Caenorhabditis elegans: one gene and its partner. The protein of the gene in region 1 purifies or fractionates together with the protein of each later gene. This does not show direct contact. Each region holds a gene or a part of one and is shown on either strand. Other genes may lie near its edges.

Region 1 (4,474 bases):
TTATCTTTTAGTTATGTCGTTAAAAAATGTGGCTTTTTAAATTGAAAAATCAATGAAATCAAAAGGAAAAACAGTGTTCCGAATGACGTTGCAAGGATAATAAAAATGCACATACATATGCAACATCATATTTGACGACACTTGGAGAAGCTGAGAAATAGAGAAGGTGTGCGCTATCGATTAAACAGTTTTGGAGTACTCTGAGAAGAATCTCGTATAGATAAAGCGTAAACCATTGAAAAACGAGAGATGTCTTGAAAAACTGTTCATGAAATTATTTAAAAAAATTTCCATCTGGAACATTAAAGCAGTGTGTACATACAATTTTATTATATAGCAAGGTTTGCGGTAAATTTGCGAAAATGTGAGAAAGTATCGGGCTTAAGATGATGATCACAGAAATAATTTGAAGTAAAATACCAAAAAATTCATTGTGCAATTCTTCACTCGACAGTCAGTCTTTTAAATGTTTACTTTAAATGTTAATGTTAATTGCTAGGAAAAATATACCAAAAATTATATACTAAATATTATAAAAAAAGGCAAATAAAAATCAAACGATATTCACAAAGTGGCGTTTAAATAATTAATTTCAATTAAAAAGTGTTATAATTGTACAAATGAAGATCAATTCAATATGGAGGAAGTTTAGTTTCAAAGTTATTAGTTGCTGTGGCCAGTAGTGCGCGGAAGATTGTATATCTGAAACCAATTAAAAGTTAAAGTTATGCGTAACTATTTGAAATTACCTCCTTCAATTTGGTAAAGCTTTTAGTGCTATCAATAACAGACGCATGGTGACCAGCGAATTGTGCCATGTTTTGTCTCAACCAGTTTTTCTTATTTGGTTCCAAATCAGGAAGGCGACCGCAGTTTCCAAATTTCATACAAATGGAAGGTTTTGTAGTTTTCTGCAGTTTATTTGAATCAGCAAATTCATGACTATCCTTTTTTGGCGAAAAGATTGCAGCTATTGGAGATGAAGAATACTCGGAGACCACTTTCTTTGGAGTTCCGGTTCCCATCCTTTCAATTAGTTTACCCATCGACGGGCCATATTGATACTCGTTTTTGCCAAACACTTTCTGAAATAAAAATATTCATCACTACCAATTTCAGTAATATCTCACCTTTGGGCTGAACAAGTTTTCATTCATTGTTCTTGAAGAATTTGAATAGTTGTAATCTAATATTGGTAGCTGACCAACATCTACTGTCGTTGGAATTTCCTTAACATTTTTTTGTTTCAAGTTGTTTGCGTTGATTGGCACTTTGACATCTTTAATTGCTTTGTTCTCGTGCAAGTTTTGAGTAGAGCCAATCACTTCTTCCGGCGTTATCTCAGTTTTATCAGGACAAGTTTCCGCACGTTCGTCTTTGATGAACTTATGTGATCCTTTGAACAAATCAATTTTTGCCGAGGAATCGCCTTTGAAGAAGTTTCCCTGGGGAGTTTTTGCAGATGATGGCTCATAGTCAGGTTTTTCAGTTTTTGAGCATTTCAAAAGCTCTTTTGTTAGTTTTCTAGAAGTATACACTACGTTATCATCTAACGAACATATCTCCACTTTTCTCTTCTGGTGTTTCGCCACATTATTCTGGAGCATTGGGATATAGTTGTCATCTGAGATCATATCCATCATTTCGTTTATGGAAGTTGCGATCTTCTCAGTATTCTTGAGATTGGATTCTGTGTTGTTAGTTCTCATCAAAGAAATTTCCAAGTCCGCTGGATTCATTTCCAAGTCCGCTGGATGAAAATGGGATTTTGAAGCGAAATGCATTTTTTGTTTGTAATTATTACTCACATTTTTCAAATTCGTTTTGCTCACGGCAGATTTTGAAACAGGAAAATTGCAATTGATTATATCTGGTTGTTCATTAATCTCCAGTGGTTTGATAGCAAAATTTGAATTTTTGGTGATTGCAGACTTGAAGAAAGGTCCGAACACATAGTTGGCAATTTTCTGAAAATAATTTTATAAAATAAAATAAAGCAAAACCAAAATGCAACCAACCGATAGTTTTTTAATTAAAGACCTCGTTTTATCATCAACCTTTTCTTCATTACGTTGATCATTTTTGCAAGAGTTGTTATTATTATTATCTGATGTGCACAACTTTGGAGCCTCCCAAATCATCGTTGGATATTCGCCAAAAGGAGTGTTCGGAACCTAAAACATTTTAAGAGTATTTTGTAGAACATTAAACTAATATCAACAAATTTTAATATTAGTACTAAGATGTTCTTACTGTACAGTTATAAGCACTCACCGATTTAGAAGTTGTATTTGTTAAATCAAACGATGAGTGCAATTCCAGAATCCCTGACAAATTGTCTGCCATTGACACAGTTGAAGATGGGCAAGTTCCTATTTTTGGGAAAGTTGGATTCAGAGCTTCCAATGATTGCGGTTTGTAATACTCCCACATGTCAGAGCAGTAGGAAGATATTCTGCCAAATTGGAAACGATTGCAACTAGGAACCTCTGCCTCGGTCAGTGACATAGACATATGGTGATATTGGCCAAGTCCCTGTAAATACTATGCTACTGTTTATCAAGGGGATAATTACCAACCGAGTAAATAGATGCAAACTTCTCATTCATAGTTGCTCATACGTTCGAAACAACGGCACTTGATAGACAGGTTTCTTGTTTTGAATCAAGGATCCCAAGTTCCAACCAGCTAGCTGCAAAATTAATTTCTCGGATTTAAAAATTGATGAGAAACAGTTGAAATTGTAATTCGAAAAGAATAGATAAAATATACAAGCGGAAAAGGCACTCAGCTGTCTCAAGCAGTGTTCTGTAGAAAACAACGTATATTACGTACACCTGCGGACCTTGTCTCCCTTTCTCGCAGTCTCTCACATTTCCATACTGTTTTGGTGTTGTCTGCCAAAACTGTTTTTACAGGGTGTTGGTCATGTGTTTGTTTCACAGATATTTAATGGAACCAAACAAGATGTAATAAGTTTAAAAAAAAATGCTATTAGAAATAGAAATATATAAAAATTCAAAATGGCCCAATTTTGCACCAATGGTATGATAATCAATTTAGAAATAAATATGTTAGGAATCAAGGATTTATAGCAAAAATAACAGCACAGTGTTCTTGGTCTAAAAGTTTGAAATATACATCTAAAAAAATCAATAAACCGATTTAGGGGATTTGTATTTAAAATCAAACAAACATTCGTTATAATATACGAAACAAGTTATCACTGACATGAGAAACCCATAAAATATAACCGTATTTTGGAAAATAAATGGAAAATGACAACCGGAACAGATGTAATGATATCCAAAACCCTTCACAATGGAAAATGAATAGTTTTAGTAGAGTGATCGAATATCGATATAATTCGAAATCCAGAACCATCCGATGGTTTTTCAGTTTCCGGATTTGAACTGGTACAGGCATCCACCGGCGCAATATCGCTTTTCTAAAAATAAAAATAGTTATATCAAAATATGAAATACTAAATTTTTATCACCTCATTTGAACATTCTACTACTCCGCTCGTTGAGTTATGAGAAGACTGTTTCAGCGGCACGTATCGCCCAAACAACTGTGCCATATTTCGTTCTAGCCATTTCCCGTCACTTGGTTTCAAATCTCTTGCCTTGTGATTTGAACGTTGAAAAGTTGGATCCCGGCAGGTGTTCGCATGTAAACCGTTTTTATTTACTCCGGAAGGAATCTGAAAAAAGAAACAATTTTACTGAATTTTCGTTATTTTTAGATTGTTAAAATTCAGTGTTTTCATAAATTTTAGTTTATTTCCGATTAAAAAAAAGCTAAATTGAAAAAACATTGGGTCAACTGGATTACCCGTCGATCTTATATATTTCCTAGTAAGTACAAATTAGAGCAGCTTTTGAATCACGTACCTTTGTAGTTGTGGTATTCTTCAATTTAGTCCGGCCATGAGATACGAGCGAACTAACTTTAGAACTGGTGTTTGATATTTGTGAAGACGTTGGAATTATTTGAGATGGTATTGTGCCATAGGTTTGCCTCCGTTTTTCCATTTCGCCGGTTTTCCCGTGTATGACTTCATCACTAGATTTTCTCGAAGCTTGAGCTGATATAATTGACAACTGCTTTGCTAAATTCTGAGTTTTCTCCCGTAAATCTTGCATAAGCTTTTGACTCGCAATATATTCATCTTTGCTTTGAAGAATGGCAGGCAATTTAACATTTGACACCAAGATTTTTCTTGTTGATGAAGGTGTACTTGGTTGAACCACTGGTATCGTTGAAATCGGAGGTTTTGTTATTTGTAAGTTGATTTCAGCTGCTTTTCGAGCATTTAGTTCCGTCTTGACAGTGTTAGTTTCCTCTATGACAATGGAGCGAGTTGAGTTCCCTGAAGAATTGACAGCTTTTGGAATAGGGAATCGCTGTTTTGCATTCTTCTTCTTTTCCAAAAACTCCTTCATTCGCTTTTCAGCAGCCACAAGTTCAT
Region 2 (4,651 bases), on another chromosome or scaffold:
AAAAACTTAAAACATAACAACTATTTGAAACTGCTCAATTTGAAAAAAAAGTTGCAGAATTTCGATAAATGTTATCTTTTTTTCATACTTCTAAATTTAATTTTCAGAAAGCTTTTCATCTGCGTCTGGCCAAATATGTATTTTTTGAACTTTGCTTTTAAAAATGTGTTCGAAAAATTGATAACGCTTTCGGGTCAGGCTAATTTGTTAAATAAACATTGTAGAACAGTGAAAAATTTACAAAAAATTCAAATTGTTTTTAATAAGAAAATAATCTCGCAAAAACGTTTAAAAAACCATTTTTATAGTCTAAAGTTTGCTTTTTGAAACAAAAACCTTAAAAATCATTTGATTTTTTCTCATTCTCAGTCAATTTTTATGAGACATGATCACGGTAATCTTGCAATGAAAATAGAGATTTGGTTCCGAAAAAAAAAACATGGATTAACAATATTACAAATTTTACTATTTATGGAGTTGACAAAACTGCGGAATTTTTAAAGTTTAAATTAATTTAAATAATTGTTTTGTTACTTTATAAAATAGTTATTTATTTCTAGTAAGAATTGCGATTTATTTTTTTATAAGCAAAAAGTTTTAGTAATGGGGTCATTTAAGCAGTGTCGGAAAATCGAAAAGTGTTCAGATTGTAAATTGAAAAAAATTCGAATTTTTAATATCATGTTGAAACAGTGGAAATTTGTAAAGTAAAAATTTAGAAAACATTTTGAAAAAAAAAAAGATTTTTAATCAAGGCTATGATTGTTTTTTTAAAGGTTTTGCGACCTAAATGTCAGATTTTCGATTGTAACAAACATAAAAACCGCACCTCTCCTTGGCACTAGCCAAAGTCTCTTTTCCAACTCCTCCAATTTGCTCCTTCTGCATTCTTTTCAGCTTCTGCTCTAAATCCTCATCCATCGTCGAATCGATATTCTCAAACTTTGTCTTGAACTTTGAGAATTTCTCCTGGCCAATTTCCGTTAGCTTCTGACGTTCTTCAAGGCGAGCAATTTTGGTTTCATCGTCCTCGTTTTCAATGTTATGCACGGCGCCGGTTTCGAAGTCCTGAAGTATTGATTTTTTTTTTTTGCTTTTTATTGATAGTCGAGATATGAGAAATGTCATATTTCGAGACGGTTGCTTGGATTTTCTTGAAATTTCTCAATTGGTAAAATTAAATTAAGAAAAAATGTTATGTTTCAACTAGTTTTCATACTTCAGTTAAAAATCTTTTTTTAATATTTCGCCCGCTTCCCAAACAATGCTTAAAATCACTTTTACTTTGTAACCAACTAATGTAATTCGAGAAGTGCGTTTTTTTTTTGAAAAAAAATTCAATGTTTCAACTATTCTATATAAGTCGTGTTCAAAACACGGAAAAGTGCTTTCGTCGTCGATCCATACCATCTTTAAAAATTTGGATGAATTTCTTATAAATCAGAAAAAAATATTTTGGTGAAAAAGTTTATCTGTTTTACTGTGCCCATATTAAGTACCAGTTTATAATACGTCAGTGCATAGAACGAACCTTTTTCATTTTCTTCAACTCCTGATTTCCGGCTTTCAAAGCTGCCAATTCCTCTTCTCGTGCCTCATCTTTGACGGGACCCTTGTTTTCGAAAAGTGCCGATTTCTGAAATAATTGGTTTATTTGTTTTGTCAATTTATTTTTTTTTTAGAAAATTGGGTGTCATAAGCAGCTGTTAACGTGATTGGAAAAGGTGGGAGAAGTGATGAAACAAGCTGTAGAAGTGCGGTAAAATTGGAGAAAAATAGGAAAAGCTGAGAAGCTTTTCATTACTTTGGGACCTTTTTTTTTGAAATGTGAGGATTGGGGTGCAGTACTAATAGGAAAATGCGATGGTAAAGCATTTTTTGAAGAAGTGGGAAGAAATTTGTGAGATTGTGGTTTCCAACTTACTGTTTGGTCGCTGAGCGCTTCTCTCTAAAAAATACATTTTTTAAATAAAAACAGTGTCTCCTTATAATTTGTCCAACGAACTTGAAATTAATTTTTTTTAACTTTTTGAAAATATATTGAAACATGTGACATAAACTTTAAATGGAATAATGAATACCTCATTGTTTTCCGACAAAAATAATTTCATGAAACGGTAATTTTTTTCTCGTATTATCTAGAAAATTCATAGATTATACCTGTGTTGAATTTTTAGATAATTTTAAAACGGGATTTTTTTCAAATTACACGGATACAGTAAAGATCAAAATTTTAGAAATGAAGGGAGTTATCTTGGAAATGATAACAGTTTTACAAAATTAACAGCAAATTTGTCTAAAAAATGTAAATTTAATAACTCACAGAACCAATAAAAATTTGTTGTTACTTGAAAAAGCGTGTTTCATGCAGCGTTTTAAAGTTGTTTAATTATCTAATCCCATGATAAATTTGGAATATTGCTAATATGAGTTTGGAAAATTTACCGTTTCAAAGTCTTTTTAAGTTTCGACGATTTTTATGCAAATTTGATCGCACCTCTCCTTTTCTTTGGTTTGTTCTTTGACAGTATCCCAATATAAACATCTTCCCGGGTACAAATTTGGAACGTTTCAAGTACGTTTAAATAGATCTTTAGATCCCATTGTGTTTTTTGGTCACTTGACAGAGCAGCCGTTTTTCGCTATTTATCCAATTCAAGTGCTGTTCTTTTATCCAATACGACTAGTTTGTATATAGTGTGGCAAGAACGCTCTAATGAGAAAAATTGAAAAAAGAAAAGTTACAGCTATATGAAAATGTGCTTGAAAATTTCAATTAAATTTTAGACATTTTTAAAAATTTGGTCTTAATTTGAAACCGAAACTAAAATTCTTGCAGTTTCACTACTTCATAAAAATTTCTCTCAAATTATCTGAATCTAATATATAATATATAATATATAATGCAAACTTCCTTTATTTTCTGACAGTTATTTCACTCACCAACTGCTTCAAATCACCGCTTCTTCCCTCAATCTTGATTGGCTTTTTTGGGGCTTCATCTTCAGATTCCGATGAAGAAAGTGCGTATGGATCCTCCTCCTCTGTCATTTTTCTGGATTAGTTTTGAGGGGGTGTCTGGAAATTTTTTAAATTAGATTCCATTGACACGCGAAACCCTGAAAATTTGGAAGAAATAACAAGAAAGAGCAAAAAAAGGATTATAATTTTTTAATGTTTCACAGTTTCATGAAAGTTGTAGTTTGCGAGTAGTACGTGTTTCCTTACATGCACTTGAATATTTATTTTCTTGTAATAAATCTGAAATATGAAAATACTGAAACATATCAAAACAATTTTTCAAAATATTCAATAAATACAGAAGCAAAAATTGATTTTATTCTGATAATATTATATAGCAGCTTTTAGAAAAATAATTATAATGAAATGGAAATATATACATTTTAAAATTTGATCAATGTTTCAAAACTTTCTCATTTTCCATTCTTTTTGTGAAAAGTGTTGATTTATGATTTTTGGGTGTCACTTTTAAAATTTAAATGTTTCTAAAAACTTATAGGACTAATAAACTACCGAAACTGATACAAAAATGATACATTTTGCAGTTAAATAAATTGGATCCACCCGCATCGGTGACATTACCAATAAACGTATTTTTAAAATTTAGTTAAAGAATAAAAAGCAGTGTAAAAAAAGCAGTGTGCCAAAAAACTTTTGTAATCAGATAACTACTTGATACATGTCTGAAACAGAGAATAAAAATTGGATGAAATACGCTATATTTAAGTTAGTGTCGATTTGCTCAGTTTAGCATTCAGTTCAAAAATGAAGTTTACGCTATATAAAATGTTAATATTTAATTTTTGAATCAGTAAATTTATTTTGTTAAACTGTGCAAAAGTTACCAAGTGAAAAAACATTTTCAGTTTCATTATTGTAACTAATAAAATGTCATATACCACTTGGCATTAGGCCATCAAAAAGTTTATTGTGATATATCTTGATTGATTTTTTTTTCAATAAAAAAAATATTTAAAATAAATTTCAAAACAGTTTCATAAGTTTTCGAAATGTAAAATCAAATGATCAGTGAAAATTATAATCGAAAAATTTCAAAATAGTGAGTGGTGAAATTGTTGGCACCGTGGAAGCAGTAAAGTGATCAACAACGGAAGGTGATAAAGAACAGTTGTTGCTGTGTGAATGTTTTTCAAAAAGAGCAGGAGGAACTGGTCATCAGGATAGATAGAAGAGATAATTGTTGCGAAACCGGAAAATTTATTTTTGGATTGTTGACAATTTTTGTGAAAACGTTATCCAGTATAAAATTAAATAAAATTGATTGAGATTTTGTGAATTATGAGAAAAAGTAGAAATTTATTCAGTTTTTTTAAGCAAAAATAAATATCAAAAAATGTTTCTCAAATTTCGAATATTAAAAAAAAGTATCTTCAAAAAGTGAATTTTAAAAAAATCTAAAAAATTAACATTCAGTAATTTTTAAAACGCAAGTTTTCAAAATTTTTGTTCCTGTTTATCGTACAAATTTTAAATTATATTTTTTAAATTCATGCTAAATTGAAATATTGAAGCTAGATTTTCATTGAAAGGTTATCTCAGCTATCTGAAAAAGTAAAAATATTAAAAGTTCAGAAAATTGAAAATTTTCAAATGAGCCGCATAAGGCTTC

What was found. Proteins that work in one complex are often made in the same cells at the same time.
Region 2: the proteins of F23D12.10 (region 1) and tag-273 purify together in Caenorhabditis elegans (affinity purification with mass spectrometry, with the first as the bait; one large-scale study listed by BioGRID). This does not show direct contact.

Annotation. Positions count from the first base shown.
Region 1 is NC_003284.9:14,413,048-14,417,521, forward strand, and holds F23D12.10 (Protein kinase domain-containing protein), read right to left. Parts: upstream 2,695-4,474; 5' UTR 2,610-2,694; coding exon 2,580-2,609; intron 2,536-2,579; coding exon 2,275-2,535; intron 2,175-2,274; coding exon 2,019-2,174; intron 1,968-2,018; coding exon 1,131-1,967; intron 1,086-1,130; coding exon 750-1,085; intron 703-749; coding exon 664-702; 3' UTR 531-663; downstream 1-530. Other genes in the region: F23D12.2 (BRCA-2_OB1 domain-containing protein), read right to left, coding at 3,317-3,448, 3,500-3,706, 3,897-4,474.
Region 2 is NC_003282.8:14,502,089-14,506,739, forward strand, and holds the start of tag-273 (LIM zinc-binding domain-containing protein), read right to left. Parts: upstream 3,052-4,651; coding exon 2,944-3,051; intron 2,905-2,943; exon of another isoform or gene 2,884-2,904; intron 2,777-2,883; exon of another isoform or gene 2,756-2,776; intron 2,513-2,755; exon of another isoform or gene 2,492-2,512; intron 2,427-2,491; exon of another isoform or gene 2,406-2,426; intron 2,074-2,405; exon of another isoform or gene 2,050-2,073; intron 2,005-2,049; exon of another isoform or gene 1,979-2,004; intron 1,949-1,978; coding exon 1,925-1,948; intron 1,637-1,924; coding exon 1,532-1,636; exon of another isoform or gene 1,518-1,531; intron 1,410-1,517; exon of another isoform or gene 1,386-1,409; intron 1,321-1,385; exon of another isoform or gene 1,300-1,320; intron 1,264-1,299; exon of another isoform or gene 1,243-1,263; intron 1,069-1,242; coding exon 830-1,068; intron 648-829; exon of another isoform or gene 627-647; intron 445-626; exon of another isoform or gene 424-444; intron 185-423; exon of another isoform or gene 163-184; intron 1-162.